Pelodiscus sinensis: one gene and its partner. The protein of the gene in region 1 purifies or fractionates together with the protein of each later gene. This does not show direct contact. Links are inferred from orthologs where the notes say so. Each region holds a gene or a part of one and is shown in the gene's direction. Other genes may lie near its edges. The genes, in order: TOR1AIP2 and CUL4A.

Region 1 (15,743 bases):
ATACATTAAAGCTGTATAGTAATCCCTCATTTAACACTATAGATGTGTTTCTGAAAATGTTCAGGCTAAGAGAAAACGTGCTATGCGGGGTAAATTTTCCCATTAAAAATAATGTAAAAGGTGGAGGTTGCATTTCAGGCAGTGGTGGCAAAGTCAATTTTTTGTTAGTGCTGGGTCGTCAACATTAGATATCTAGCAACACAAGTCACTGTGGTTTGTTAAAACACAAAGATAGACAGACACATGAGTGAGCAGAGAAGCGCTGTGACCACGTGTATTCATCCGTTCATGCATATTACCAGGGCTCGCCAAGCGGCGGTGAACCCCCCTCACCAGCTGTGCTGAGCGGCGTACTGCGCGGGCTTGTAATCTACTTGCCACAGGCAAGTAGATTACACTAATTGTCGAGCCCTGCGTATTATCACTGTTTTCACCAACTTATACCGCAGCGTGAAGTAGTCTGCCACTTGATTATTATCCTGTTATTTCGAGGACGGTTGTGTTATTTGAAAAACATTCCCTAAAAAAAATCGTGCTATTGCAAAAACGTGTAAAGTGGGCACATGTTAAATGAGTAAGTACTGTATGGAAGCTAATGCGTATCAGCTATTTGATAAATACAATTCACTGGTCTATTTGTAACTGACTTTAGACACAAAATTATGTTGGGGCAAGACAACTAAGACTAGGGGTTCCCAACATTTTGGGGCTGCCGGGCGCCTGGGGGCAGGGCCGCTTACGTGCTGCGCTTACGGGGGCGGGGTTGCTCACAGGCCACGTGCCTGGGGGCGGGGCCAAGCATGCGCCGCACGCTCCAGGCCGGCACCAGCATGTGCCGTGACCCCGGGCAGGGGCTGCCCAGGTGCTGTGTGCCTGGGGCCAGTACTGGCATGTGCTGCGACCCCGGGCAGGGGTCACCCATGCGCCCGGGGCTGACACCTGCCGCACGCCCAGGGCGGGGCCAGCCCAGATTGCTCCGCAAGTGCACATAAATGGCCCGGCGGGCGCCATGGCGCCCACGGGCTCCGCGTTGGGGCCCACTGAAGACGAACGTGGCACAATGCACAACTTAACCGGCTCCATGTAGATTCCTTAACGATTTTTATAGACAATCGAGTGGGAAAATGCTCAGCACGACGCCCGGGCTGACTGAGCTCGGGCCACATCTCTTCCCTGCCTGCTCAACAGTAACACGTGGAATAGCAACCCGGGCTGCGCCCACGAACGCTCGCGACCCCTCCCCACGCTCGGGGAGTCTGCACAGAGCTGCCGGAGCCCGGGGGGCTGTTTCCAGTTGAGGTGAACAGGCGCCACCCGCTGCCCGCGCGGACGCAGCAGGGAGCGGAAGGGAACGAAGCGGGGCGCAAAACAAAGCCGCTGTCAGGCCGCTTTCCAGAGCCGCCCGGCCCCGGCCCCTCAGAGGCTAATTTGCCTAAACCCGAGGTGCCTGCTGGTCAGATGGGCCGGTCACATGGTAGAGCCCGGGCGCCCCCTCGGCCCCCCCGCCCGCCTCAGCTGGCAACGGTCTCAAGGGAACCGTTTAACGGCCAGGAGAAGCCGGGCGCGGGGCAAGGAAACCCCCCCGGCGATGGCCCCGCCCCGCAGCGGGGGGCAGAGCGCGGCAGCTCCCCCAAGGGGGGCTCGGCCACCCCTCGTCGGGGTCCCCCCTCCCCTGCGCCCTCAAGCAGAGGGCGCGTCGCGGGATCAGCAACGGCTCCTCAGTCACTCACGTTCCGAGGCCTCGGCGCCCCGCCGCCTGGGCTCCGGCTCCTTGGCCCCGGCCGCGGCTCTTCGTCGCGTCTGCATCTCGGCGGTGGCTGCCCGGAGCTCAGGCGCGAGACGGCTCTCGGCGCGTTCTCCCGCCGCGCGGAACGCCTCCCCCGCCGGCCGCGTTTCCGTCCGGACACGCCCTTGCTCTTCCGGGGCGGAAGCCGCTGCCGTCGCAACTAGGTGATTGGCTTCGCTTTCCTGAAAGCCTCACTTCCTGTCGGCCATGTTGAAGGGCGGAAGTCTGCGGGGAGGGCCGCTTCTCTTGCAGGGCTTTTCCCGCGAGCCCTCCCCGCTGGACTGGAAGTCACGTGATACAGCACCGTGTCACAGCTGCGCTCGCTCTTTGCTTAGCTCTCAGCCCCTGTTCTGCCCCGCAGCTGTCAACAGCTGGGGCTGGTCCCCGCCCCCTATCGCCCCCTCTACCCCCTCCCCGCTATCCTCCCTTCCCGGCCGATTTCTGTCCCCGCCCCCCCATTCCCCTTTTCCCCCCTCTCCCTTCCCCTTTCTGTCCCTGCCCCCCATCCGCCCTTTTCCCCCTCTCTCTCCCCCTTTCTGTCCCTGCTCCCTCTATCCCCACTTTTCCCCTCCCCCGCTTTGTCCCCACCCCCTTTATCCCCTCTCCCTCCCCCCTTTCTGTCCCCGCCCCCTCTCCCTCCCCCCTTTCTGGCCCCCGCCCCCTCTATCCCCCCTTTCTCCCCTCTCCCTCCCTCGCTTTCTGTCCCCTTCTCCCACAGAGCAGGGGCTGGCACTGTCCCCTTTCCCGTGGACTTGCCTTAGCCCCATTCTCCAGGCGGCAGGGGCAAAGCGAGGGGCGAGGAGTTTGCGCAGTGGGGTAGGGGGCTGAGAGCTAGTGAAGCAAAGTGTAAACCCTGGATGGGATGAAAACCACTTCAGGCCCTGGGAGGTGCACCAACGCCCTTAGTTCCAGCACCAATTGAAAAGGGACACTGGGAGCTGCTGCCCCAGTGATTTCTGGGGAGGTGGAAGCAGGATAGCTCCTTGCCCTAAGAGTTTGCAGCACTCTAGCCTCTGAAATAGGTTTTAAAACGGGCTCCTCCAGTCCCAGCAGTGCTGCTGGAGGCTCTTGGCCAACAGGGCCCCCCACATGTAGCTTTGGAAAGTCTAGCACTTATGATAGTTGGGGGCAGGGAGATGGTTCTGGGAAGCTTCTCAGTTGGTCCCCATAGTTTGTTTTAAACAAGCTTGGGAGGAATGGGCTATGAAAGTGACTAGCAACAAAAGTGAAATTGACCTGTCTCCACATGGCCCTTTGAGAGAAATGGAAAAGCTACAGCCACAAGCAGGGAGAAGGCAATGAGACAGGCAAAGGACTGGGAGTCCAGAGTGCTTTTGTCATAGCTTTTCTGCCTGTACTTGAACAAGCGGTTTCACACACACTAAACCCAACTCACATGAGAAGCCCCATTAAAGTCAATGGAGCTACTCACATATATGTAGCAACTTCTACATATAAGCATTTTTTGGGTTGGTGCCTAGGAGTACTTCAATTTTGCCATAAAATGGGATTAACGAAATATCTACCTGTGGGGGTTGATGCGATTGCAAATCACTAATATGTTGTGCAAAAGAGTTATGAGATTAAAAACAATGAAATTAACATAAATGTATATATTGTTTTTCCTAAGATTGTCAATTGGTTAAAAATGTAATTGTGATTAATTATGTTGTTAATAATAGAAAACCATTTATTTAGCTTCAGAGGGGTAGCTGAGTTAGTCTGTAACTGGAAAAACTTTAAAAAAACCAATCAGCCTACCAGCACCTTAAAGACTAACAAAACATGTAGATGGTATGAGCTTTTGTGGGTACAACAGCAGAAGTGGGTTGTACCAACGAAAACTCATGATATCATCTACATGTTTTGTTAGTCTTTAAGGTGCTGCTAAACTATTGGTTGTTTTTTAAGTTTACCATTTATTTAAATACTTGTGGATGTTATCTTCATTTGCAAATATACTGCTCTCAATTACAACATAGAATACAAAGTGAATACAAAGTGTTCACTTTATTAAAATATTTGCACTGTAAAAAAACAAAATAAATAGTATTTTTCATTCAACTGATACAAGTACCGTAGTGCAATCTCTTTATCGTGGGGGTTTAACTTACCAAGATAGAATTATGTACAAAAAGTAACAGCATTCAAAAATAAAATAATATGAAACCTTGTTATCAAGCAGAATCCATCATAAGCATGGAAGGAGGTCCTCTGAAATAAGAAGCTGGTAGCAGTATCTCCCATAGATGTAAAAAAACTTGCTTTTCTTTGCGTTAGTTCTACCTCTTGTTCAACCTAAATGAATCTGTAGGCTCTAAAGTTTTACATTGTTTTGTTTTTGAGTGCAGTTATGCAACAAAACAATCTACATTTTTAAATTACACTTTCATGATAAAGAGATTGCACTACAGTGCTTGTATGAGGTGAATTGAAAAATACTATTATCATTTTTAGAGTGCCAATGATAGTAATCAAATGTAACCATATAAAGTGAGCACTGCACGCTTTGTATTCTGTGTCATAATACAAATCAATATATCTGAAAATTTAAAAAAGCATCCAAAATATTTAATACATTTCATGTGGTAGTCTGTTGTTTAACAGTGTGATTAAGCACAATTAATTTTTAATTGTGATTAATTTTGAGTTAATTGTGTGAGTTATCTATGATTAATCAACAGTTCTAATTATTCCTTTCCTGTAACAAATAGTATGGAAGTTTGATTTTTATAAATACAATTTTTAATGACACACAGCACCCAGGGTGGTTTACAAGTACAGCATATAATGTTATCTGGGATCAATCTGGATACAAGATATGATGTAAATTCAAGATCATCAGAGCTATCTCATCCATAGAATGGTTGGGGTGGCCCCGAGCCCTGCATTTTGGGGAACCCTATGATGTCAGGGCAGCCTCGGTGATTACCCAGGGGTTCTGGGACAGTAGCAGGGTCGGGCCCAGCCCCGTACTCACCAGGGAGCGTGGGAGCCACAGGAAGCGAAGCAGTCCAGCCTCAGCACGCTCTGCTTCGCCATCTCCTAGGCGGAAGTAGGTGCCAGAGTCCTAACCTCCTCCAGTCTCCTGAGCAACAGGGCTTGAAGCTGGGCTCGGGGGCTGTGTCTGCACTGGCCACTTATTCCGGAAAATCAGTCGCTTTTCCGGAATAACTTGCCAGCTGTCTACACTGGCCCCTTGAATTTCCAGAAAAGCACTGACGATCTACTGTAAAATCATCAGTGCTTTTCTGGAAAAACTATGCTGCTCCTGTTCGGGCAAAAGTCCTTTTCCGGAAAACTGTTCCAGAAAAGGGCCAGTCTAGACAGCACAGTAGTGTTTTCCGCAAAAAAGCCTCGATCGCAAAAATGACGATCGGGGCTTTTTTGTGGAAAAGCGCGTCTAGATTGGCCACGGACGCTTTTCCGGAAAAAGTGCTTTTCCAGAAAAGCATCCTGCCAATGTAGACACGCTTTTTCCGGAAATACTTAAAACGGAAAACTGTTCCGTTTTAAGCATTTCCGGAAAAGGGTGCTAGTGAAGACGTAGCCAGGGAGTAGAGCAGGCTAGGGCCAGGTTATTCTGCTTCCCACCACCACAGGAGTACAAGGGGGGTAATGGCCCCCCAGTAATTCCCCAGGCCATGTTGCTTGGGAGGAGGCAGTGTTGGTTCAGGCAGAGGTGGGGGAGGAGTGGAGCAGGGACGAGGGTTGGAGTGGGGACGGAGGCAGGGGCAGAGGCAGGGCTGGCCTTACTATGAGGCGAACTGAGGCGGCTGCCTCAGGTGCCAGACTGGGGGGGGGGGGGGGGGGCGCCACTAGAACCCAAAGTGTAGAAAATTGTGTCTGCTGCTGGTGCAGATGTATTCTCTCTACTCTAGATGCACAGAGATGGTGAAGTGATGTGCTGGAGGAAGGAGGGCACAAGAGACAACAGGCAGGCAGGAGAAAAGGGGGCATCATTTGAACTCCCCGCCGCAGTTGCCAAAATGTAGTGGGCTGGCCCTGTGGGGGGAGGAGAGGGTGTTGTTCCAGGCTCCACAACCACCTAAGGAGGGTGCTGACGATCATTATTAGATTTATTTTTCTCATATAGATTTGAGCAAATACAGCACACAACGTATATACAAATGATTTAGGCAAGGCTGATTTAACTATAAAATGAAGAGGTCCTAAAGGGTTTTTATTTTACTAAACCTGGGAGGGACTGGGGGAAGGGAGGAAGACAGCACCTCATTCCTACAGCAAAGTCCATCTTATTTAGGCTGATGCCTTTTTTTTCATCCTGGAACATTGTAAATTATTTAAGGAGACACGGACATGCTCTGAGCACTTCGTAAGAATGTGGGACAACAACTTTTCTCACTTCCTAGCCTCTCTACCTCTCAAGTCTGATGTTTATTAAAGAAGAAAAAAATGTTTAATAGTGTTGTACAAGTGTTCTCTTGAAGTTCAAATTTTGTTTAGAAGCAAGGGAAAATGTGTTACGTAAATTATGCATGCCTTCTGTGCCAGGCCCAAATGTATGAACTGTCATTCTTTTAAGATGGAATAGGAGAGCAAATAAGATGAGCTTTATGTTTCATTAAGCAGCACAACAGAGTGTTACAGAGATAATCACCTAATCGAGATGTTTTAAAGTCCACAGAGCTATTTATTCTGATTTAAGTCAGATAGAAAGAGCTAGTAAATGACTGATTCGTAATCTTTCAGTCATCCGGTAAATGTGCAGGTAAAATCTTTCCATTTTACCTTCATCCAAAAGTCTCCAAGGGCTTTACAAGAATTAAATTATGTGGTTACTGACTGTAAATGAAAAGCAGCATTTCAAGATACGCTCTGTGTAATCAAGCAGACTTCTGTGATACAAAGTGATCTATTGATCCTTTTCTAGCTTGTTATATTTCTAAAATAAAATCCAAAAACCTTTGCTTTAAAAAAGTTAACATTGCTAAGCGACAATATATACACCTAGCAACCCCCCCCCCCCCCCCCACCCCCAACGGATTGTGAAAAATTGTAATTTTGCTAGAGGGAGACAAAATTAGACAAGCCAACATTTCCAATTAGAATAGTTATAATTGCCAGTAATTCAAAAACTGTTTAGCTTTATATTTTCAAGTATGTGTGATCAAATGTACTCCTGTATTCTCTCCCTAAACGCTACTGTAATAATCTTTGCACAAAATATGCCCTGTGAGATATAATTTAAAAATTAAGACCTCTCATCATGGGAAAATGCATGTAGCAATATTATATCCCAAGTTATAACATTTGAAAAATTCCACCTTTTACACTGAAGCTGCTCGACCCTGGAGCCTAGTTTGTACAAGGCTAGCTTAATAATGTGGCCATATGTCAGGAAGGCCAACGGGACAATTTATTTTCTAAATGGGGCTGGTTTGGGTTCCAGAAAAAAAAACCTAATAAATCTTGGCTTCTCTGATTTGTCTTTCCTACTTGCTGTTTTACACTGGCCTGTGTAATTGAAAAAAAAAAAAAAAAAAAAAGCAACCACAGATTACTTGTCATTTGTACTATGTAGTACTATTGGTCCAGACCAAATCAGGCTCCCATTGTGCCAGTGCTGTACATAAATCTTTGCTTTTACATAAATCACCTCTTTTTCCCTTGTCTTATGCCTCTTAATACTTTCTCCCTCTGCTGTAATTCTGTTAATTGGCCTTCCATCCTAAGAATAGGTCGGCACCCAGGAAGCCACCTAGGCTGAAAGATACAGTTGCTGGGTTTAATTCTGAGTATCCTCATTGTTGATCTTGGTTTGCCACTTACTATGGAGCAGCTGATGACGAATCAAAACAATCAATCCACTCTCTTCAGTCTTCCATAGTGCCCTGCTTCTCTGCTGTACAATAAAGTTGGTGTAACTCTAGTTCTATTAAGTCTGCAACTTCGTAGCAAGCTTGATGTCATGGCGTCTCCACAAAGACCACTGAAGGGCACATTTGGCAGCAGGTGCTGCTATACAAGCATCCACATCTTTCGAGCATCCTCCAGCACAGTCTATGATGCCTCTTAAGTGTCCCATCCAGATAGAGTAATCTTGAGCTGGCGGTAATCTACAATTGGGAATTTGGTTATGTGGTGAGGTCACGAGTGACGGAGACAGACTGAACATCCAGCCAGACCCACCTAGGGTCCTAGCTAGAGACTGAGCTGAGTAGTGCTTGAGCTGCAAGGAGGCTACGTTTCTTTGGAATTTGCCCGAAAATGATTATATGAATGTAATTCTACCATTTCACTGGTTCCAAACTGGTTTCAGATACACTCTGTTTGAAGGATGCTCTGTACAATTGTAGAGTTCGGTAAGTCCAAACAGAGGAGTTACTTCCTGAAAATAATTATATTTGTAATCAGAACAAAACCACTAACTCACGGGTGGGGAACCTAATGCCCGGATGCAGCCACTAAGGCTCAGGGCTCCCCCTCCCCAGCACTGGGAGCTGGATAGGGTTACCAGATGGCTTCAAAAAAATTCCAGACACACTTGATCTCAGAACTGGAGGGGGCTGGGGAGAGCGAGGCTGACTGAGGGAGATTGGGGTGTGGGACCAGCCAGCGGGAAGCAGGGCTAGCTGGGAGGGAGTCGGTGGGAGTGGGGCTGGCTGGGAGGAGGTCGGGGAGAGCAGGGTTGACTGGGGGAGATTTGAGGGGAACCAGCCGGCAGGGAGCAGGGCTGGCCAGGAGGGGGTCAGGGGAAGCAGGGGGATAACTGGCTGGCATGGAGCGGGGCTGGCCTGGACGCACGCAGATCCCGGGGTGCTGCCCATCCTGCGCAGGGTCCCGGCAGGGCGCATGAGCGATTCCGGCCCCAGGGATTCCATCCCGCCCTGACCCCGCTCCCCTCCTCTCTACTGTGTAGCTGCGTTGCCTGGCTGGTAGACACGCTCACGCAGTGTGAGCATGTCTACCAGCCAGGCAGTACGCAGCTACGTACTAATACTCATGATAATAATAAAACTTACTTAATTAGAAAATGTGTATGTCTGGTATCTTCTCAATTTGTTTCCCGGACAGAAAGCTCAAATACTGGACTGTCTGGTTCAAAACCGGACACCTGGCAACCCTAGAGCTGAAGCACACAAACTCTACTAGCTGGGGATCCCCTAGGCTCTGGTGTGTGAGGAGAATGTGGGGAGTGTTGTTCTCCTTCTCAGTGCGGGGCTACGTCTGTGAGGGGTTTTGTTTGTTTGTTTACTCTTTGTTTTGCTTCTCACTTGTGTGCGGCCCCCGACGCAAAAAAAGGTTCCCCACTCCAGCACTAACTGATGTAGGACTATTCATTCAAAGCAACATGGCCATAATCAAAGAGAGGGGGGAGAACTACATATCCCAGCATTCCACGATGGCGCCCTGGATGGGTGCAAGGTTCACTGTCACGTTGACAGTGGGAGGATTAAGAGTTTATGGGTGGGTGTATTTGAGAGGAAAGGATCTGTTTTCCCTCCAGCATGGAAACTGAAGGGCCGTTGGGATGTCTGTGGTAGGGAGCAGCTTGGGTCTGCCTGTAACAATCCCTCTGCTACGAAATAGCTGCTAAGCACTGCTGCAAACTACAAGTAAGTGTTCAGCTCTGCACAGCAGAGCTACTTTTAGTTCCTCATTTCCTGATCTTTCTGATAACACAGAGGAAGATTCAAATGCCGGTGGGGTGGGGGCAGAGGGCAGAAATTCCTGGGAGTGAGCTGTAGGTCTGACTACTTGCCTCCATACAGTTTTGATTAACTCCAAATACGGTGCTGCAGTCAGTTAGAGGGCATGACAATAGAGGCGACAGGCCATCTGGTGTGAGGAAATATCTTCTTAGACTCTGTGTTAGGCACTCTGTGTTAGGCACAGACTGCTGCTCATTTGCATACAGATCCTTAAACAGGTTACATTGCTCACTGTTGCTGCCTGACTTCACATGATTAGCATCACAAAATGCACCATCTTTAAACTGAAACAACAGGAAACTTTATGATGTGAAGAAACTGACCCCCCCGTCACTCTCCTCCGGTATTTGTGTCCTTGCCTCGCTTTGCGCTGTTGTGACATGTTCAAAAGGTGGGGTCACATTCTTGCCGCGTGGCTGGTGGAGAGACATTCCTCCTTTTCCCTTCAACACCCTGCCCTTCCCCCCACGACTTATAGTCTGAGTGATTCAAACATCTTTTAAAGAGTGGATGAAATTGCTGGTGCAACAGCCTTGGAGACTCGGACCAAAGGCAGGTACCGTGCAACTTCCCCCATCATCCTCCCACCAATGGGATTCAGACATAAGGGCTCCCGCTTGGTGTACATGGGCACAAAAGGTATTTTCTCCAGTCGAGTTACCGTCACACAATTAAAGATCGCCCAGAGAGACTCGGCTGAACACCTTTTCAGTCACATGAGCTGATTGTTAACAGCACGAGGCCTAACGTCCTCAGATATCACTGATTATCCAAGCTGCATCTTGGTACATTTCATCATAATAAAGGTAAACGCCTCACACTGCGCCTCACAGCTTTGAAGGGGCTTTGGGGGTGGGGAGGCTCTCAAGTTTCCCACTATGAGTCATTGCTTTAGTCTCTTTGTGTCCAGGAGCTGGCTGCGAACAGTCAAGCTACGCTGACCAGAAAGAAGATAGCAGGCATCTGTATGACTTAACCAGGAAGTGTAACAATCTAGCAAAGAGGCCAAACACCAGAACAAGAGAATGGCAGAAAATGGAGACCAAGAGTCTCCTCAGGGTAAGTTTGCTGAAGGAGATGCTTTAGAAATAGGTTTCTATTTAGTAATAAAGTTGACTATTTGTTTATTGTTGTATTAGTCCCTGTTACTAGTGTTCTAATAAAAGTAATGGGAGCTGGCCCTTTAAGAATAGGGTGGCAGCACCATGGGTGTCGGCTTGCAGGGTTGGGCGAGAGTCAGGGAGAGGGGTGTTTGTGTGTGTGGGCATTTAAGCTGCTGCAATAAGTGTGCTGGGGCATCTGTGTTTAAACAGAGTTCTCCTTGAAATTCGGAGGCTTGTGATGAAGGGGGTCGATTACATGCAGGTCTCCACTGCTATAGCCCCAAGATGGAAACTGCATTTCCAGACACACTAAAAGAGAAAATCTCTGAAACGAAACTAAAACCTGAACAGGAAAAACCACCTTTGTTTCATTTCTCTATGTCCAGTTCACTAAAAAGAAAACCCAGGAAAATCCCTACTGGCCTGATCGTATGCTTAAAGCAAACCCAGTCTTCTGAATTTCTGAGTCCGATAAGAACAAGTCCCTGGGTTGACAACACCATGGATACTTAACCTCGTGATTCTTTCCATGATCAATGCTCCGTGCTTCAGAACAAAAGAACCCCTTCCTCCCTGCACTTCCAAGCACAAACTCAGTCCAGGGACCGAACTCAGCTACCTCTGTGGACGATAGAGGGGATTTCTTCCTGACCTCTAAAATAATCAAGCTTCAAGCCCTTAAATGAAATTCTTATCACAAGGGGCATGGGCATGTAGGGTCCCACAGGCAGGAATGCCAATAGCCTCCCTGGCGGAGGTGTGTGTGGAAGGCTCTGGGCTCCTGGAAGGGGCGGGGCCTCCATGCGACGCAGAATAAGCCACGCCCCCCCCATCCCATAGAACCACCCCAAGCGATTTAAAGTAGCAGTAGTAGCAGTGGTGGCTAAGAGCCCCTGGGCTCCTTTGAAGCTCTGGGCCCCAGGGCAACTGCCCTATTCCCTCTCCCCCTCCCCACAGCAGCAGGCCTGCCCCCTGGCCAGTATTTGGGGTAAAGTGGCCTCTACTGCATAATAATGGAAGCAGAGCTGAATTTAACGTTCCCAGTTTCCCAAAGTACATGAATATGGTTATGTTTAAAAAGTGAGCACGCAGTGGACTTAGGGAAACATAGGGGCTGGAATTCGGGGGATGCTGCTGCTGTACCTCCTGGCTTGAAGTGGTTTCCATGACGTCTGTAGTTTGAGTCAATGGCTCTCAGCACCCCCCACTATACAAATTGTTCCAGGACCCGGGTTCCCTCTAAGTTTTCCACACACGTGAGGAATTGCTTTTGTCACATGCCCCAATATGGAGGGGAATATGATACACATCACCGCTCTATTGGTGCCCATAACAAAAGTCATGTAGTGGGGGTGGGACTGAGGGGGTTCAGAGTGCAGGAGGAGACTCAGGCCTAGGGTTGCCAGGTGTCTGGTTTTCACACGGACAGTCTGTTATTTCTGGCCCCTGTCTGGTAAAAAAAAAAACCAACAGAAAATACCGGACATGTAAAATGTCCAGTATTTTCTGTTTTTCTTGGATGGAAGGCTGGCGGGGACATTCTTCCCCTGCTGCATTGGTGTGGGCGAGGGTGAAGCAAGGAGCACAGGGATTCTTAAAGGCGCAGTGACTTTTTTGTTGTTGTTGTTCTCCTGGTTGTTGGGGTTTTTTTTTTTTTTTTTTGCTCAACCAAGTTTTTTTCCTGACGTGTTTGGGATTTTTGGTGAAAGCATCTGGCAAGCCTACTCAGACCAGGGGCAGAGCATTGAGGTGTAGGGGTGTATGGCTCCAGCTGGGAGTGCAGGACCTGGGGTGGGGTCAGGGATGAGGAGTCTGAGGTGCAGGCTGCCCTGGGGCTATAGCAAGGAGCAAGGACCCCCCAGCAGCACCTGGGCTGGAAAGGAAAGGCAACTCTCCCCACCATGGCTCCCAATCTGTCACAGCTGGGGCTGTGGGATGGGTGCTAGCCCCAACTGTGACAGATTGGGAGCCAGGTTAGGTTTGGGCTGGGGGAGGGGTGCCTGTCTCGTGGCAGTGGCAGCTCGGAGCTGGGCTAGGATCAGGCTGTGGGAGGGAGTGTCATTCCTCAGGCCACCGCAGGTCCACCTGGGCTGGGTTCCCTGCGTGCCTGCATGGCGCTAAACAGGCTGCTGCACAGTCAAGCAGCTTACAGGGAACTTAGTCCAGGAGCTCTGTAGGGGCCATATTGTCCACACAAAGATGACTTGGATCAGTTCTGAGATCCAAATTCTACAGAACTCAGAGATCAGGAGATTATAGCTGGTCACACAATAGGCCAACTGTTCTACACAAGCTTGCCGGACCCAGCTTTTGCATATGGAAAACAGAACGATCCCAACTCTACATGTGCACAACCTGGGTATTCAGAAGCCAGCTTAGATGGCCCATTTAATTTTTTTTTCTATGTATACTCTGTCCTTTTATTCTGTTGCGCAGAAGTTTTCAAACGGGGGGAGGCAAGGAATGTATTTCTGCGATATCTCTGTGACGTGCACGTTTATCCCCCAGCCTTGAATAACTAGCAAAGTCCATTCCTCCAGACATATCAGGCCCTCAGATGGCCCTGTGCATTGGCTCTAGCTGGTGCTGTGCATGTTGAAAGATTTCTGTTAAGCCTGCATAGCATTATACAAAGTCTTTGCCATTTGAAAGTAGGGATGTGAATGGTTAACCAGTTGACCGGTGGGGGTTAGAGCAGCCCCACAACCACTGCAGGCAGAGGGCTACTCCAGTTCTGCAGGGCCCGCCCTGGGCCTGGCCCAGCACTGCGGAGAGAGGCACTCCAGCTCAGTTGCGGCGGATGGAGGGTTGCTCCAGCCTAGAGACGTTAAATATCAGTTAATTGAATAGTCAATTAACCTCATGAATTCTTATCGGTTACATGGCTATTCTATAGTCCCTGGGGGTGGGGCTGGCAGCCAGTGCGCTCCAGCCCCACTACTGAGGAGCCCCCCATCACTGTGTGCTGCTGCCTCTGTATCAGAGGCAGCAGCGTGGGGTGCCAGGCGGGAGCTGGTCCGCAAGGGGAGCCGGTTTAAAAACCAGCTCTCCTTGCGGACCAGTCGCCTGTCATCCTGCGCTGCTGCCTCTGTATCAGAGGCAGCAGCCCCTGTCCAGGGTGGGCTCTGATCTTCTGGATCCAGTGCGAGCCAGAACTGAGCCAGGCTACTTGCCAGCCTGCTAAAAAAATTTACTGGCCGGGGGAGGGGGGGGCGGGGGAAGGGAATGTATAGTCTATAACATTAATCAGTAAGCTTTTGCTCATCAGTTAATCGACTGTACTATTACATCCCTACTCCAGCCTGTCCCCATTTAATGAGTTAACTGGTTAAACATAGTGTTTAACCAGTTAACTAATTAAAGAGGATTTTACATCCCTATCTGAAAGCTAATCCATTTGCCATGACATGGGGTGCACATTTGATTATAAGCCTCAACCAAAATCGCAGTGTTGCTTTTGCTCTCGTTACAAAGGATCACTGGCTTTGTTTGAATCAGTGCCTTACTGTTTGTTCTGTTTAATGCGAGTTGCATGTTGATTATTTTTATTGGTACTGGCATGGTGGAAAGGGGGCATAAACCACTAAAGACATAATGGGGGGGAGAATCAGATAAGTGTGAGAACCACTGCAGTAGTGTAAAACGGATCAATGACAGTCCTTCCCCCTGAACACACAAGATCATTGTATCCAATCCAAACTGATACTAATGGAATTCAGTGAGTAATTCATACTAAATAGTTGCATTCAACACAGTTACATTTTCCCCTGGCCTTGAGTTATCTGGGAGCATCTTACAGTTTTGTCAGATTTATTCTGAATTAAAAATTAGTTGCTGGCTAATTTCCATATGATAATTCTTGATCAGCAGATTTTTTGTGAACAGGTTGTGCAAATGTTCAATATTTAAAATCTTAACTATGTCAGATAGTTTTGCTGGAACCTATAGCTCACTTATATTTGTTTGTTCTCTCCTTGGAAGTCTAAGATTCAGGTTCCTGGCAAATACTCATATTTACAAGTCCAAAACTTCCTCTGTGAAAATATTCTCTAATATTTGCTTTAAATTTCCGTTTCTACAAGCACACCTCAATTCTTTGCTAGACCAGCCACAGAAAGGCAACAGATAAAGACCTTGAATACAGCAGAAACAAGTTATATTTTGTTAATATAATTGCAAAGAAAAGGTTTGCAATCACTCGGCTCAATCTGCTATCATGTCAGTACCATGAGTAGAAACTCCCCAACAGGGGCAGATATAGGGCAGGGCGAACGGGGTGGCTGCCCCGGGCCCCACGCTTCAAAAAGCCCCGTGCATGCGCCGTGGCAAAGGGTGGGCCCTGTAGAATTACGCTGCCCGGGGCCCCGCAAAACAGTCATCTGCCCCTGCTCCCCAAACCACAAAACATAATATACATCCTCTTCTCCTTGCCCTACCAACTTGGAAAGCCCCAGATACATAGTCAGGCCTTATGACATATCCTGCAATTTAATGAATTATATTTTCAAAGTCAAGGGACTCTTCAGCATTTAGAACTCTCCATGAAACAAAAAACAGGACTATGTAGCACTTTAAAGACTAACAAGATGGTTTAATAGGTGATGAGCTTTCGTGGGCCAGACCCACTTCTTCAGATCAAATAGTGGAAGAAAATTGTCCGTTGGCATTTACATTTCAATTGTATGTCTCAACAGCTGGGTGTGTACCATAGAAAAGGGGTACATTTCTAAAATAGCCAGCACCCAATCTTTTCAGGGCCACGAGCGTGAACCATTTATTGTATTTGTAGAGTGGCAGGCATACATTTAGTGGCCAGCTTGAGATCTCTATGAAGATGTCCCAATGTAGGTCACTGGGGGTGAGGGGTTATGGGAACCTCGAGTCCCCATTCTTGTGTGTCAAGTGTTGGAGTGTATAGGATTAGGAGTTTTGGTGGGAGATTGTAGAATACTAGTAGGCAACCAGGGCTGGCCTTACCCTGAGGCAAACTGAGGTGTCCGCCTCAGGTGCCAGACTGTGGGGGGGCGCCACTAAGACCCAGAGAGTAGAAAATTGTGTCTGCTGCTGGTGCAGATATATTCTCTCTGCTCTAGATGCACAGAGATGGGGGAGTGCTGTGCTAGAGGAAGGAGGGCAGAATTGAAACCTTTCAAAGTTTTGGCCCAAGCGAGGGGGCAT
Region 2 (15,438 bases), on another chromosome or scaffold:
GTGATGAGTTACTTTTACAGAACTGTTGCTGACTTACATTTTGTAGGATTTTTTTCTTTATAAAAGCAGTGGCAAAAAATTGTTTTTCCTTAAGCAGGTTCTCCTTTCTGGAGCAAGGTTTGTGTTTTGTAGGGATTTTTGCCTATATGCTTGTTATGTACACTATTCTCTTCTGTGTTATTTTCTTCAGAACTTCTTGAATTTTTCCATCTAAGCCCCTAAAAATGTCATGCAAATGAGTAATATCCTAGACTCTTTCCCAGCCTCTCGGAAATTAACAGAGGTCAGCCTGTGCACCTCACCTTGCAGGATTGGGGCTTTGGTTTGTTAGTGTAACTGGATCTTTACCTGAAGCCTGGGATTTGCTACATGAGGATGCTTAAATGACACCAATTCTGCACAAAACAATCCATCTCTGGAATCAATGGCTTCTTGGACCTACATAAGAAAATTCAAGAAAACAATTATATACTTTAAGGAACAAGATTTAGTCTTAACCATGTAATACATATTGCCACATTGCTAATAAAAACATGCTTTTGTGATGACATTCTCATTCTTGTTAATGACTCTGCAAATATTAATTTCACACGTTATTTTCACTGGCTAAATTTGGAAGACACATTAAAATTCGTCAACCAGGAAAAAATCAGACATCTTTATTTTTCCTTAGCTATACAAAGTAGCTCAGATCAGTGACCTCCCAAGACAACTATATGGGTTTGCTGGCTGTAGAATTTTAAAACTTTGTATATCTGTAGACAGATTTCTATAAATTAAAAGGAAAATTGTGGGCATAAATCAAGTTATATTTTATTGTTGGAGTTGCTGAAAGGAAGGATAGTTTGGGTTTAATTAATAAGGACTCAAACGTATTTCACATGCATATTAGTATTTAATAACATAAACTAATAAAAAAACTAATCCTGCCTTCCCTACTCAAAACATCTTCCCTTTCACATCAATGGGCAGTTTTTCTTAAGCAGGAGCTACATGACTGGACCTGAGTATCTTTGTGAACTCATTTAAGTCAATTAGGCTTGGTCTACACTGCAGCACTATTATGGGATACCCTGGGTATCCCAAAATAGGTATTCCGCATCTTTGGAGCACGCCTGTTATTTTGAAATATAATGAGCTCACTATTCCAATGTCCCTGTAAACCTTATTCCACAAGGAGTAAGGGACATTTTGGAATAACAATTTATATCAAAATAAGTGCTGTGTAGACAGCGCCAAAAATCAAAATAAGCTATTTCAAAACTGACTTGCAATAAGCTACCCAATTATTTCAAGCTATGAGTGCAGTGTAGACACACCCTTTAGAGTTTTGGGTATGGATGGGATATAGGATTGCGTACATAGCATTACAGGCAGTCCCCGACTTACGCGGATCCGACTTATGTCGGATCCGCACTTACGAACAGGGCTTTCTCGCCCCGGAGGTCAAGGTGGCGGATTGCTACCTGCGAGCTCCGGGGCGAGAAAGCCCCGTTCGTAAGCTGCTCCGGTGCCCCTGGTCTGCTGGAGACCGTCTCCAGCAGACCAGGGGCACCGGGCGGGTTCCCGCGCTTCTGAGGCTTTGCCAGAGCAAAGCCTCAGAAGCGCGGGGAACCGCCGCTGCTGCCGCTTCAGTCCCGGTGCCTGTGGTCTGCTGGGGACCGTCCCCAGCAGACCACAGGCACCGGGACTGAAGCTGCAGCCGCGGCGGGTTCCCGCGCCTCTGAGACTTTGCCAGAGCAAAGCCTCAGAGGCGCGGCACCCCGCTGCCGCTGCGGCTCTGCTCCCCGTGTCCCTGGTCTGCTGGGGAGGGGGGGCGCAGCTAGTGTGCCCCCCCCCAGCAGACCAGGCTTTTGTTTTGGACCCTGAGGAAGAGCAGCTGGGGCGCTGCCGATTGGTCCTGCAGCGCCGCTCTGGGCACTACTGGACCAACCTGGCAGCACCCCAGCTGCTCTGCCCCAGGTCCTGATTCAGCCACTGCTGGTCAGTTTCAGCAGCGGCTGAATCAGGACGCCTGGGGCAGAGCTGATGGGGTGCTGCTGGGTTGGTCCAGTAGCACCGAGGAGCAGCGCTACTGGAGCAACCCAGCAGCACCCCAGCTGCTCTGCCCCAGGCGTCCCCAAGTCAGCTTCTGCTGAAACTGACCAGCGCTGACTACAGGAAGCCCGAGGCAGAGTTGCTCTGCCCCAGGCTTCCTGGAATCAGCTGCTGATCAGTTTCAGCAGCAGCTGACTTGGGGACGCCTGGGGTTCTTAAGTTGATTCTGTATGCAAGTCAGAACTGGCGGTCAGTTTCAGCAGCGGCTGAATCTGGACGCCAGTTCCGACTTACATACAGATTCAACTTAAGAACAAACCTACAGTCCCTATCTTGTACGTAACCCGGGGACTGCCTGTATTCTTGTCTACACTATTCAGGGAAATATATTCCCACTTCCATATCATTAGCAGAAACCAAATTAGTCCTAAAGTCAATAAAGAATATTAGCAATGATATAAAGCATTATTAAACAGTTAAGTATAGTGCACATGCAATCAATGAGTTCAGCTCTATATTGACTTCATCTTTTTTAAAGAAAGCATTCTCTGAAAATATTTAAAGCAAAATGCTCAATAGCAAAATCTAAAACTATGAAAATATGATAGAGAATGTGACAGTAATCTAGCACGGCTGTTATTACAGTTAAGAAGCCTGACAACAGAGCCTGAGATTTAAATTTCAATGACTATTTAAAGGGATATGATCAATTTTTAAAATGTCACACAATGTTTTCCCTCGTATTACTTTAAATGACATTTTAAGTAACAGATTAAATGCTTCCTTTTTACAATTTTACTTCATGCATTTGCCAACATATTGATTCATTTATTTATATTAAATTTTCTATAGTAGTATGGATCTGTCACTCAGAAACACAGAGAAAACCCTTTCCTAAAGACAGAAAAACATGACTGAAACCACAGCAACTGGGAAAAGGACTTGAACAATTAATATTTAACTTTTGGCTCCTTTTATGGAACTGATCAAGTTGACATGTCTCATGAAGGTGCTTAAATAAGCGTGTGTTACATCTGATAGAGAAGGAATCTTTATATCAAGCCTCTCAGCCTGGGGCAACAGAGTAATGCTAGCAGGGATTCAGGTAACAGTAAAAACAGCAGTATGGAAATTGTGGGCTAAATGGAGACTTGGGCTTATCTCCACCTAACTCGGTGGCAGGGGTGGGGAAACAGGAGAGCCTGAGTTACCCCCTGTGCTGCACTAGCCGTGATATTGGATTTAGCGCTTGAACTGGGCTAGTGCAACGCTGTCTATCTGGGCTGGCAAAGCCCACTGAAGTCACAAGAGGACTTGGTAAAGATGCCAGAGCCCGCGCTAACAGATCTTATCACAGGACTGGGGGGCTTACGTCGTTATCTCGGCCTCCGCACATTGAAGCGCCACATGAAACAAATGCTGCTCTGCTTTCATCCCTGCCCTAGAAGAAGCTTCCCTAGTTATCCCCTCCCATAGCCTCGCTTGCCTTTTCAGCAGCAGGGCAACGTGCCTGTAGCAAGAGCAAGGGAACGGGGGGTGGGGGGGGGACAAAGCCGCTTACCTGCTGCAAATACTGGTTGATGGTGATGTGCGCCATGGGCAGACCCGGGCCGATGCTGGGGATCAGGAGGGGGGGGGGGGCGTGTGCTTCGCTGCAGAGGAAACAGAAGCGTCACCGCGAAACGAGCAGCTCTAAAGACCCTCCCCGCCCCATCCCACCCGCGGGGCCAGCGCCAGACGCAGGAAGAGTGGCGGGGGGGGGAGGGGGTCCCAGGACGCGCTCTACCCGCCTCCCCCGCGCGCACTCACTGGCCTCGCGCCGCCGCTCGCGCCTCACTCCAGCGCACCCCGCAGGCGGGGCAAGAGCTCCGCGCTTCCGCCTCCCTCACGGCGCGCCCGCTTCGCACGTGACACCAGGCCCCAGCAAGGCGCTCACGTGACTCGTCGCACCCCTCCCCTCCCTGTTGTTCTTGTTCGCGCTGGAGGGCAAAGGGGGCGGTGCCTCCCGCCTGTTGGAGACTGTCCCGCCCTGTGCGAGCAAAAGGGGCTGTGACAAACTGTAACTAGGCAAAAGCGGCGTGAAACCCACAAGTGCTACACCGCAAGATGCCTGGAAAATGGCCTGCTTTCCCACTTTAACCGTACAAGACACATCCAGTGGAACATATTACTTACACTGTATAAAAGTAATAGATTGGTAGCCGTGTTAGTCTGATCGTGGTAAAACAAAAGAAAAAAATAGGTAGCATTTTAAAGACTAACATACCATCTGCATATTTTGTTAGTCTATAAAGCGCTACCAGACCATTTTTTTCCTGTAACAGACTAACTAGGCTACCCCCTGAAGCTAATAAACTATCTCGTTAATCTTTAAAGTGCTATGTATTTTTTCCTTTTGTTTTACAATGTATAGTATAGATAGTAGTATAAACTGGGGATGTGAAAGATTAACCAATAACTGGTGGGGGCTGGAGCAGCTGCTCGCCTGCCATAGGCAGGTGGCTACTCCAGTCCCACAGGGGGCTGGCTGTGGACAGGAGCTGCTCTCGGGCAGAACATCCCCCCATCCATGGCAAGCCTGGGCACCTCACAGGCAGGGACTGCACCAATGTCTGGAGCAGCCACTGTGCGCGGGGAACCCTGTCCATCCTCAACAGGGGCTGGCGGGGCTTAGGGGCCAAGAGCTGGGAGCCAGTAAAAGCCCCAGCCCCTACCCAGATACTGCTTAATTAGTTAACCAGTTAAATGTTAGATTAACCTAATGTTTAACCGTCTAATTAACTGGGATTTTACATCCCTAAAATAGTTGTATGAAGGTTGAGTTTATACTGACTTTGCTAGCATTTTTTATGTAGCCTGTTGTAAAACTAGGTGAATAACTAGATATGTTGATGCACCCTCTGAGAGATTATTCCATATCTTCAGGATTACGTATACATCTGGTTCAAAACCAGTGGGTAAGTCAGGCCCAGCCTTAGGGCAAGGTGGGCAACGCAGTTGCCTTGAGCCATGTGCCTTCAGGGCCCTGCACTACCCAGTGCCCGCCCACCCGCTCACTACCCTGGCTGGGTGCTGCCCAGCCACGCAGTGCAGCCAACCACAGCATGCTGCCTTGGACCCTGCAAACTCTTTTGCCGGGCCTGCGTTAAGTAATATCACTTATTGGATCCATCTCTTACTGGGTGATACACAAGCTTTTAAATTACAGAGCTTTTCTTCTGGTCTGGGAAATGTATTCAGTGCCTCAGCTATATACAAGTTGAAACAGATTGTTCAGCACAAGTAGTTAGTACATATTTCAAGGGACCATTCAAGGTGAGGTGGCCTATTAACTCGGGATGTAAATATTAGTTTAAAAAGTTAACCATTTAAACAATTAAAATTATATCATTTAACTAGTGAACTGAGATTGCTTCGGTGAGCTGGCTAAGAGTAGCCAGGACTGGCGTTCCAGGGTACGTCTAGACTACAGGCTTTTGTCAACAAAAGTTTTGTCAACAGATACTGTCGACAAAGCTTCTGTCGACAAAGAGCGTCTAGACTACATCCAGTTCTGTCGACAAAGCAAGCCACTTTGTCGACATGACAGTGTGGACGCAAAGGACAGTGTAGATGCAATAATGCCTTCTGTCGACAAAACTCTGTCGACAAAAGGTGTTATTCCTCGTAGAATGAGGTTTACAGCTGTCGACAGAACTCAGTGGCAGTGCGGACGCAGGTATAGTTTTGTCGACAAAAGTGGACTTTTGTCGACAAACCACTGTAGTCTAGACACACCCCCAGTGGGGCTGGCCAGATACAGCCCACAGCTGTTCTAGGCTGGCTGGCACTCTGTGGATAGGGCTGGGGTCTCACCTGCAAGCCATGGACAGGAGTGAGGCTACTCCTGCCCACTGCAGCTGGGACTGCAGACATGTTTGAGGTCCTGCCTATTACCTACGGATGGGGCTGGGCTGGGGCTGCTCCAACATGGCTGTGACCAGGATCCTGCCTGCCTGTTCCATGGCAGAGGTTCTGCTAGCAGGCCTGACCATTGTCTCTTGGGTCCTGGCTGGCCACTGTGGTTGGGGCAGAAGCCCCATGAGTTATATTACCCACTGCAGCCAGGGCCCTACCTACATGCTTGAAGTGGCCAGGGCTAGGGTCTCTGGCTGGCCAGCCTGATGTGGCCAGGGTTAAGGGGTAAGATCTGGTTAACAGTAAGCCTAGTATCAGTTAACCATTTAAACTTTTACATCCTATTATTAACACCCTTCATGGTACATTAAGGTAAAAAATTTCACAAATGACCATAAACATAAAAAATGTCCAGTTCTCTACTGTTGTTATTATTGATACAGCTTCTTCTATGGTAAGAGTGCTGATTTTAAACAGTGTGCTGTCTACATCTGCTCTGAGTAGATTTAGATGACATGATGGTTAAAACATGGGTTGGTCTATACCTGTGCTCCTATATTCACTATTTTTTAAGCTGCTACAACCATAGCAAGAGTGGGAAATTAAAACAACAACAACAACAAACAGCTAGTGAAGCCCTGGGCCCTTCTTGTCAGAGACACCATTTCATTTAGTGGGTGTTCATCACTCTGAAAATTAAGATGTGTTTCAGGCTGAGAAGAGGAAACTAGAACTCCAAGAAATGTTGGACTTTGTCTTTAATAGGATGAATAGTATGAACTTTTTTTATCTTGGCCAGTTTTATTCACAAGATGCATGGTGTTACATAACCACCTCAGGTACCTATATAAGAACAGTCATACTGGGTCAGACAAAGGTCCATCTAGCCCAGTATCCTGTCTTCCAATAGTGGCCAAAGAGAGGTGTCCCAGAGGAAGTGAACAAAACTAAGGATGTTAAATTTTGATTAATTAATTGAATAGTTGATGGGATTTCCATCGACTATTCGATTAGTCGATAAGAACTTCCACGTTCCTCCTTTGAAATGTACAAGAACCCCAGTGGGAGCTCTTGTGCTTTTCAAAGTGGAAGCCCTGGGGTCAACGGGGGACCCCTGCTAGGGACTCTTGTACATTTCAAAGCTGGCATGCCACCTGGAGCCTGGTCCCAGGCTCTATGCAGCATTCCAACTTTAAAATGCACAAGAACCCCAGTGGGGGCTCTTGTGCATTTCAAAGCGGAAGCGACCATGTGGAGCCTGGGGCCAGTGTGGGATTCTGAGTCTCCCACTTACCCCAGGCTCCATGTGGCACTTCCACTTTGAAATGTACAAGAGCCCCATCAGGGACTCTTGTACTTTTCAAAGTTAGCTGCACTCCTGCCCCCTTCCTCGGAGCTAGAGGGAACCAGCTTTTAAGCCGGCTCCCTCCAGCACCCGCATTCTCTTCCCTTCCCTTGCTGCCTCTTTGTGATAAAGGCAGCAAGCCGGGGGGGGGGGGGGGGGGAAGAGGAGGGGAGTGACTAGTTGACTATTTGATAGGCTTTTGCTTATCGAATAGTCAACTGGTTGATTAGTCACTTACAACCCTAAACAGAACAGGATCACCAAGTGATCCATTCTGTCGCTCATTCCCAACGCTCTGACAAACAGAGGTTAGAGACACCATTCCTGTCCATGCTGGCTAGTAGTCATTGATGAACCTATCCTCCATGAATTTTATCTAGTTTTCGAACCCCTTTAAAGTCTGGTCTTCACAACATCCTCTGGAAAGGAATTCCATGTGCTGTGTGAAGAAATACTTCCTTTTGCTTGTCTTAAACCTGCTACCTATTTCATTTGATGACCCCTAATTCTTGTGTTATAAGAACAAGTACAGTAAACTTCCGATAATCCGGCACCTTTAGGACCCAGGGGGTACTGGATTATCAAATATGCCGGACTATCAGAAGGGGGGGGCTATGAGGGGTCTGGGGTGGGGGGAATGCCACCCCAGACCCCTCATAGCCCCCCCTTCGGATAGTCCGGCTCTGCCCCAGGGATCCCCGATTCAGACGCTGCTGATCAGTTTTAGCAGCAGCTGAATCGGGGACGTCTGGGCCAGAGCAGCTGGGGTGCTGCCAGGTTGGTCCCGCAGCGCCGAGGGGCCACGCTATGGGACCAACCCGGCAGCACCCCAGCTGCTCTGTCCCCGGCTTCCCCGATTCAGTTGTTGGTCATTTTCAGCAGCGGCTGAATTGGGGAAGCCCGGCACAGAGCAGCTCCAATTGTCCGGCTGCCCGGAGCACTTCCGGGTTCCTGATGGTGCCAGACCATCAGGAGTGCCAGAGCTTTGGATGCCGGACCAATGGAGTTTTACTGTACATAGATTTCCTTATTTACTTTCTCCATGTCAGTCATGATTTTATAGACCACTATCATATAAGAACATAAGAACGGCCATACTGGGTCAGACCAATAGTCCATCCAGCCCAGTATCTTGTCTGCCGACAGTGGCCAATACCAGATGTCATGGGGGAGGGGGGAACACAACAGGTAATCCTGATGTGATTCCTTCCTTGTTCCTGTCACCCACCTCCAGGGAAACAGAGACTAGGAACACCATTCCTACCCATCCTGGCTAATAGCCATCGATGGACCTAACCTCCATGAATCTATCTAGCTCTTTTTTGAATCCTGTTAAAATTCTAGCCTTCACCACATCCTCTGGCAAGGAGTTCCATAGGTTGACTGTGTGCTGAGTGAAGAAAAAACTTCCTTTTGTTTGATTTAAACCTGCTGCCTATTAATTTCACTTGGTGACCACTAGTTCTTATATTGTTTGTTGACTAAAGATTTAATACACCTGTGTTTAATGATGTTCAAAATTTGAATGTATATTCTAATACAAATAGCAAATTATTAAGTGTGACTTAGTAGTTTTCTTATTTTTGAGTCAATTATGATTTTTTTTTTTAGGCCCTAAATTTTTCATAGGCCCTAGGCACTGTGCCTACTGGCTAATCTGAACAGAATAGCAAAAGAATGACAGCTACGCTGAAACTTGCCAACCCTCCCTGATTTGCCTGGGGTCTCCCAAGAATTAAAGACTAAGCTTGAATGAAAGATTACAGGTCATGTGATGAAGTCTCCAGAAATCCGGCCAACCTAAACTGACAACCCGGTGCCTAGGTCAACTAAGGCCGCTTGAAAAACATGGAGCGCCTCAGTGCTGCTCCTTCACCGGGCTGAAGTAACGCGGCTGGAAACCGCTCCCAGCGGGGTCCGCGGAGAAGGGCCGGGAGGAAAGACGCCGAGCGGGGCGCTCCCCGCTGCTCGCCCTGGGCCCCGTGCTCCCAGCCTGCGCCAGCCTCGAGACCCCTTCGCTTTCTCCTGGGCCTCCAGGGGGAGCCCAGCGACGCCTCCTCTCACTGTGTCCCCGGGCCGGAACTGCTCTCCCGCCCGCCCCGCCGCGGAAGGGTCCGAGTCCAGCCAGGGGCCGCCCCGCAGGCGCCTCCGCTCCCCCGCGAATCCCCTGCCCGGCCGCCTCGGGGGCCATCTTGTGCGCGGAGCCGGCTGCAGCCGCGGCCTGTCGCCCTCCCCCTCGCCAGCGGGGCGGGGTTGATGGGGCCCCCGGAGCCGGGGCGCCGCGGGGGGAGGCCGGGCTGGCGGTGACTCTCCGCAGCCGCTGCCAGCAGGCGGCCGAGGCCGGGCAGCGCGCAGGGGGCGGCCATGGCCGGCGAGCCGCAGAGGAAGCCGCACCTGCCGGCGCTGGGGGAACACACCAACGGGCTCACCAAGCCCGCCGCGCTGGCGGCAGCCCGGGCCGGGGGCGCTGCTGCCGCCGCCGCCGCCTCCAAGAAACTCGTGATCAAGAACTTCAGAGGTGGGCCTGGGCCGGGGAGCGGGCGGCGGCTCGAGGCGTCCCGTGTCCAGCCCCCCTCCCGGCCGGGCCCCCGGTGGACCCCGCGGCCCTGACCTCGGCCCCCTGCTGCCCCCGCCCCTTCCCCGCTGAGGGGGCCGCCGGGCCCGGCTGGGAGGGGCCCTGGCTGCGGGCTGCTGCGCACACTGACAGGCGGGGGAGCCAGCCCAGGTGCCCGGCCCACCCTGTGGTTTGGGGGCGCTGTGCAGCCTCCAGCTCGAGCCCCGGGAGCCCGTGCAGCCTGCACCCTCTGAGAGCAGCGCCGCTCCCGAGGTGGGGTGGTGTCGGGGCTGCTCTAGTTCCTTCCTCCCCAAGAAATAGGTGCCAGGCTGGGTTTGCTCTGGAAAGTGACTGTGAAAAGGCCTTAACTCCGCTAACTTTTGTCTCAACAGCTACAAGGGCTCTTACTCAGCCTGCTCCTATGTATAGGCAGTGACTTTTTTTGGCAGACAAGGGCCTGATCCTGTAGCCCCAAGGAAGTTAATTCAGCTGACTTACATATGCGAGGTTCTGAGCCTAGGGGCCCTAGCATTGCCAGATGGTTTCAACAAAAATACTGGACACACTTGACATTACATCACAATCTACATTACATCTTATTTAGAAAATACCGGACATTTATACTTTCTCATTTGTATTTTCTCAATTTGTTTCCTTAACAGAAAGCTCAAATACTGGACTGTCCGGTTCAAAACCAGACACCTGGCAATCCTAAGGGACCCTCATCTGTTGCTCCCAAAGACAGGCTAATCTTACCCAAGGGGCTGGAACAATTTTTTGTAGTTAGGAATGTGTATGATGGAAGCCCTGTATTTGGTGTTTGTTGTTAATAGTCATAGCCTGGGATGCCAGAGCACTTCCATCACTTCTGGTTCCAGCATCACTGCTACTGTCTTACAGATAGGAGATATGATAAGGATGTTAAATATCGGTTAATTGAGCAGTTGATTAACCTCATGAGTTCTTTTCGATTACTTGACTATTTTATAGTCCCCAGGAGCCGGGCCAGCAACCAGCGTGCTTTAGCCCCACTCCTGAGGAGCCCCTTGGCAGCAGCGTGGGGTGCCAGGCGGGGGCTGGTCCATGAGGGAGGCCAGTTTAAAAACCATCTCCCCTCACTGACTGGCTGCCTGTCACCCTGTGCTGCTGCTTCTCACACAGAGACAGCAGCGCGGGATGGCAGCAGCCCCTGACTGTGCGTGTGTGTGTGTGTGTCTGAACTCCCAGACCCAGTATGAGCCGGAACTGGGCCAGTCTGCCTGCCCGCCTGGCTCCTAATACACTTTAAATTCAGAGCCACAGAGGGGGTTGGTTCCAGACTAGTGAAAGCCTGGACTGAGCTGGGCTGCCTGCCCACCCGGCTACTAATACACTTCAAATGCAGAGCTGTAGCAGGGGTTGGTCCTGGACCCAGCACAAGCCAGGACTGAGCTGAGCTGCTAAAAAATTTACTGTCGGGGTTGGGGTGGGGAATGCACATAGTCTATAGCAATTATCTATAAGCTTTTGCTTATCGATTATTGACTATACTATTACACTCCTAGGAAATGAGGCATAAAAAAGTGAAGTGATTTGTTGATGGTCACACAGCACATCAGTGATGTAGATGGCAACAGAACCCAACCATTCTGTCAGACAAGTCCAGTGTCTGGCTACTGTACTGTCTTAGTATTGCCTTTTCAGCTAAGTGATGCAGTTTCTGTATAACAGTTTGTGTTGCAGTCTTTCTAACGTTTCAGTTAAGAGCAAGTTCTGAAATCAAATATATGTTATGTGTAGAAAGTTCTATTACATGCAGTGTAGTTAGAGATAACGTATAGCAATGGTTTGGCGGTCAGATACTTTTTAAAGAAAATATATTGAAATAAAACTAGTATAGACAGTGTTAAAGCTAATTAAGAATGGTGTCGAAGATGTTGCAGTAGACCAAACTAATTTGCTAGAATTTGGAATGCTAAATTAAGCTTTATTAAATAAAAAAATCTTAAATTGTAATACTTAATTAGTCATTAGTGCATTCTGAAATAGTATTCTTGGACATGTTTAACAAATGTTGTCCAGGATCATGCAGGCTCTTCTATCTGTGCAGATGTATTTTATTGGGGATCTGTGTATGTGAAGAGGAGCAGCCCATGTAAAACAACTTGTGGCAGCTGGGCCTTTGTATGCACCATTCTGAGATAAAAACAGCCCTTAGTGGCTTTTGCCAATGTTATATGGTATTGCAAATATTCCTTTTTTTTTTTTAAATCAAGCTTAAAGTGTGAAGTGAAACCCAATGTGTCTGTCACCTTATTAAATAGTATTTAAAAAGACATAACTCGTATTGGTTATAGGGATGTAGACAGGTAACCGGTTACTGGTAAGCATCACCCAGTGAGGTGATGCTTACTGAGTGGCTAGTTAACTGGTGTACAGCCTGGTTGGAGCAACCCCACCAGCAGTGCGCCACGGACAAGGGGCTGCTCTAGCCTGGCCAGGTCGCTGCACAGCGGACGGGGAGCAGTCCAGCATGCTGGAGCAGTATCCTGCCTGTGGTGCAGTGTGGCAAGCCCTGCCCGGCTTGGCTGGAGCAACCCCTGATGTTATATGTTTATCTTGTTAACATTTTAAATGGGATTTTTGCTTCCCTAACTGATGGTTCAGTTTTCCACTTACCTCTAACTGGTTTTACAGAAAGACCTAAATTGCCTGATAATTACACTCAGGACACTTGGCAGAAGCTTGATGAAGCAGTGAGAGCTATACAAAGTAGCACCTCTATTAAATACAATCTTGAAGATCTTTACCAGGTAAGAGACAAGTTTTTGTGTTGTATTTTTTAGAAAAACTAGGAAAATGGTAGAATATAATACTGATTTCTTTAGAATTTTCATGGTCCTAAACAGTGGAAATGTAAATGGGATTTTTATGTTTACAGTGCATATTGTTCTGACTACGGATCAGTTCAATGTTCTGTTCCTAACATGTTTATCATATTCCAGATCAGTGACTTCCCAAATGTTCTCCTTGGAATTTTCTGGAATAATGGAGCACTAGCAGGATTAGGGTTCATCTAACTAATGCTAGTCATATTGAAGGCTATGGAAGCATGTATTTTGGCAGGAGTCAGAATGAGGGACAAAGGGCAGAGACTATAAGTTGTAGTACTCTTCCAATCTCTGCTGATTCTGTATGCTGAAATGAGATGTTATGCTCATTAGAGTATGCAGGTACTCAGAGTCCTAGTAATAACTGGTTCTCTTATTTGCATGCTGTGACCTGCCATGCAGGGCTGGTCTTACCTTGAGGTGAACTGAGGGGCGGGGGGCACCACTAGGACCCAGAGTGTAGAAAATTGTCTGCTGCTGGTGCATACGTATTTTCTCTGCTCTAAATGCACAGAGATGGTGGAGTGCTGTTCTGGAGGAAGGAGGGCACAAGAGACCTAACAGGCAGGCAGAAGAAAAGGTGGCATGGGGATGTCATTTGAGCTCCCTGCCTCAGGTGCCAAAATGTTGTGGGCCGGCCCTGCTTCCATGAAAAAGGATAACAATGTTACAATATTCATTGTCACAATTAATTTTCAGAGTCTCAACACTCTTAGTACTGACTGAGTGGGCAACAAAGTATCATTTCACATTTAGAAGAAAACTTAAAAAACAGCGAATGGTCCTGCAGCACCTTAGGGTATGTCTACACTACCCCGCTAATTCGAACTAGCGGGGTAATGTAGGCATACCGCAATTGCAAATGAAGCCCGGGATTTGAATTTCCCGGGCTTCATTTGCATAAGCCGGGCGCCGCCATTTTTAAATCCCGGCTGGTTCGAACCCCGTGCCGCGCGGCTACACGCGGCACGAACTAGGTAGTTCGAACTAGGCTTCCTAGTTCGAACTACCGTTACTCCTCGTGGAATGAGGAGTAACGGTAGTTCGAACTAGGAAGCCTAGTTCGAACTACCTAGTTCGTGCCGCGTGTAGCCGCGCGGCACGGGGTTCGAACCAGCCGGGATTTAAAAATGGCGGCGCCCGGCTTATGCAAATGAAGCTTGGGAAATTCAAATCCCAGGCTTCATTTGCAATTGCGGTATGCCTACATTACCCCGCTAGTTCGAATTAGCGGGGTAGTGTAGACATACCCTTAGAGACTAACAAAAATATAAATAGTATCATGAACTTTTGTGGGCACGACCCACTTCTTGAGATGAAATGGATTGTGCCTGAGAAAGCTCATGATACTGTGCAACTGAAATGAATGAGTTTCTACTTGGACATGTGTTAAACATTGCTATAGCCCTCTAGGGATACAAAACTTGTATCTGCATCCAGTCTACAAATATGGTCTGCAGACATCTGCATCCACATCTGTGGATATAAGGTGGACATTCACATTTTTGCTGGGCTGTACTCTTTGCAGTATCATGGTCTCAGAAATTGCATATCACTGGAAGTGGTCTACAGCTTTCATTGGAGTTCTGTAGAGTTATTAGCAGGGAGCATGCTGAGAACCTAGCAGTGTGCATTAGGTGTGAATGTCAAAGACCTAAAAATAATAATTATGGGTAAAGATTGCCCTTTACTCCCTAATCTCATGGGGATATTTAACATATTGTTCTAAACATAGTTTATTTAATCCATTACTATATTTAAAATAAAATAATGTAGTTAATTCTTTAAATAAGACAATTTAACTGTGCATTATTTAAATACTGGGCTTTGTAAGCGCACATTCCAGTTGAATAACATAGGTCCATATTTAAAAGTTTTATGATCATGTTTTTATGCATTATTTGACACAAGTCCAGGCGTTTGTAATTTCATTGGACTTGTTTTCAAATGTTAGGAGGAGATTATAGTTGCATTGGCATGAAATCATCAAGGCCTGGACAAGAATTTTGATGTGTGGGAAGAAAGGGGCAGGATGGATTTTTGTATACATCATAAAATAAGAAGCAAGGAAACTGTAGTTTCACCTGTTTGTGCACTAATGTGCAAAACTTAATTCATAATGGCAGTTCATAACAGATCTTCTAGTCATCAGTGCTAATTAGCAAGTTTCCACTGTATGTTTCTGTGCACGCTTGTTTATTTATTTAGGGAAGGAAAGAGAGGATAATTTAGCTCTGACTAGAAATGTGGTTACGGATCATTTTAATTGCCTGATGGAACTTGTACATATAGGGTCTTTTTCCCCTGGATCTTTGTGGTCTTTACTCATTATGAACGGAAGCCAGTAGGTCTACAGAAACCCAATATGTTAAATAGGTTGGTCTGCCACGTAACCAAAAGTTATAATCATCTTTTATATTTTAGGTTTGTTATTGATTAGTGTAGATAATTCCTGATAAGAGAAATCTAATTAAAACCAGTCATTATGTGTTAAAACATGGAAAGAACTTGCAATAATGATGCCTAAACCTATGGTGTTTGTTAAAATATTTAGCTGGAAATTTTTTTAAAAAGTGATATGTAGAAATTAGAGTTGTCAATGTGTAGTTGACTATACCATTAACTAGGCTTATCAGTTAATCTTGTCAGCTGCACACATTTACCCTCCTTCCTCTGCTGCCTCTGTATCAAGGGCAGCAGGAGTGGAAGAAACCATTGTTTGTGGGGAGCTTGGA

The links.
Region 2: the proteins of TOR1AIP2 (region 1) and CUL4A purify together in Homo sapiens (affinity purification with mass spectrometry; 4 studies listed by BioGRID, with this or other methods). This does not show direct contact. The link is inferred for Pelodiscus sinensis from reciprocal best matches to the Homo sapiens genes TOR1AIP2 and CUL4A.

What each region holds. Positions count from the first base shown.
Region 1 is NC_134719.1:59,453,176-59,468,918, forward strand, and holds the start of TOR1AIP2 (torsin-1A-interacting protein 2), read left to right. Parts: upstream 1-9,195; 5' UTR 9,196-9,366; intron 9,367-10,372; 5' UTR 10,373-10,487; coding exon 10,488-10,521; intron 10,522-15,743. Other genes in the region: torsin-1A-interacting protein 1, read right to left, coding at 1,731-1,806. UniProt on the Homo sapiens protein: Required for endoplasmic reticulum integrity. Regulates the distribution of TOR1A between the endoplasmic reticulum and the nuclear envelope as well as induces TOR1A, TOR1B and TOR3A ATPase activity.
Region 2 is NC_134711.1:237,493,604-237,509,041, reverse strand, and holds the start of CUL4A (cullin-4A), read left to right. Parts: upstream 1-9,079; 5' UTR 9,080-9,643; coding exon 9,644-9,797; intron 9,798-12,509; coding exon 12,510-12,625; intron 12,626-15,438. Other genes in the region: PCID2 (PCI domain-containing protein 2), read right to left, coding at 349-438, 3,599-3,634. UniProt on the Homo sapiens protein: Core component of multiple cullin-RING-based E3 ubiquitin-protein ligase complexes which mediate the ubiquitination of target proteins. As a scaffold protein may contribute to catalysis through positioning of the substrate and the ubiquitin-conjugating enzyme.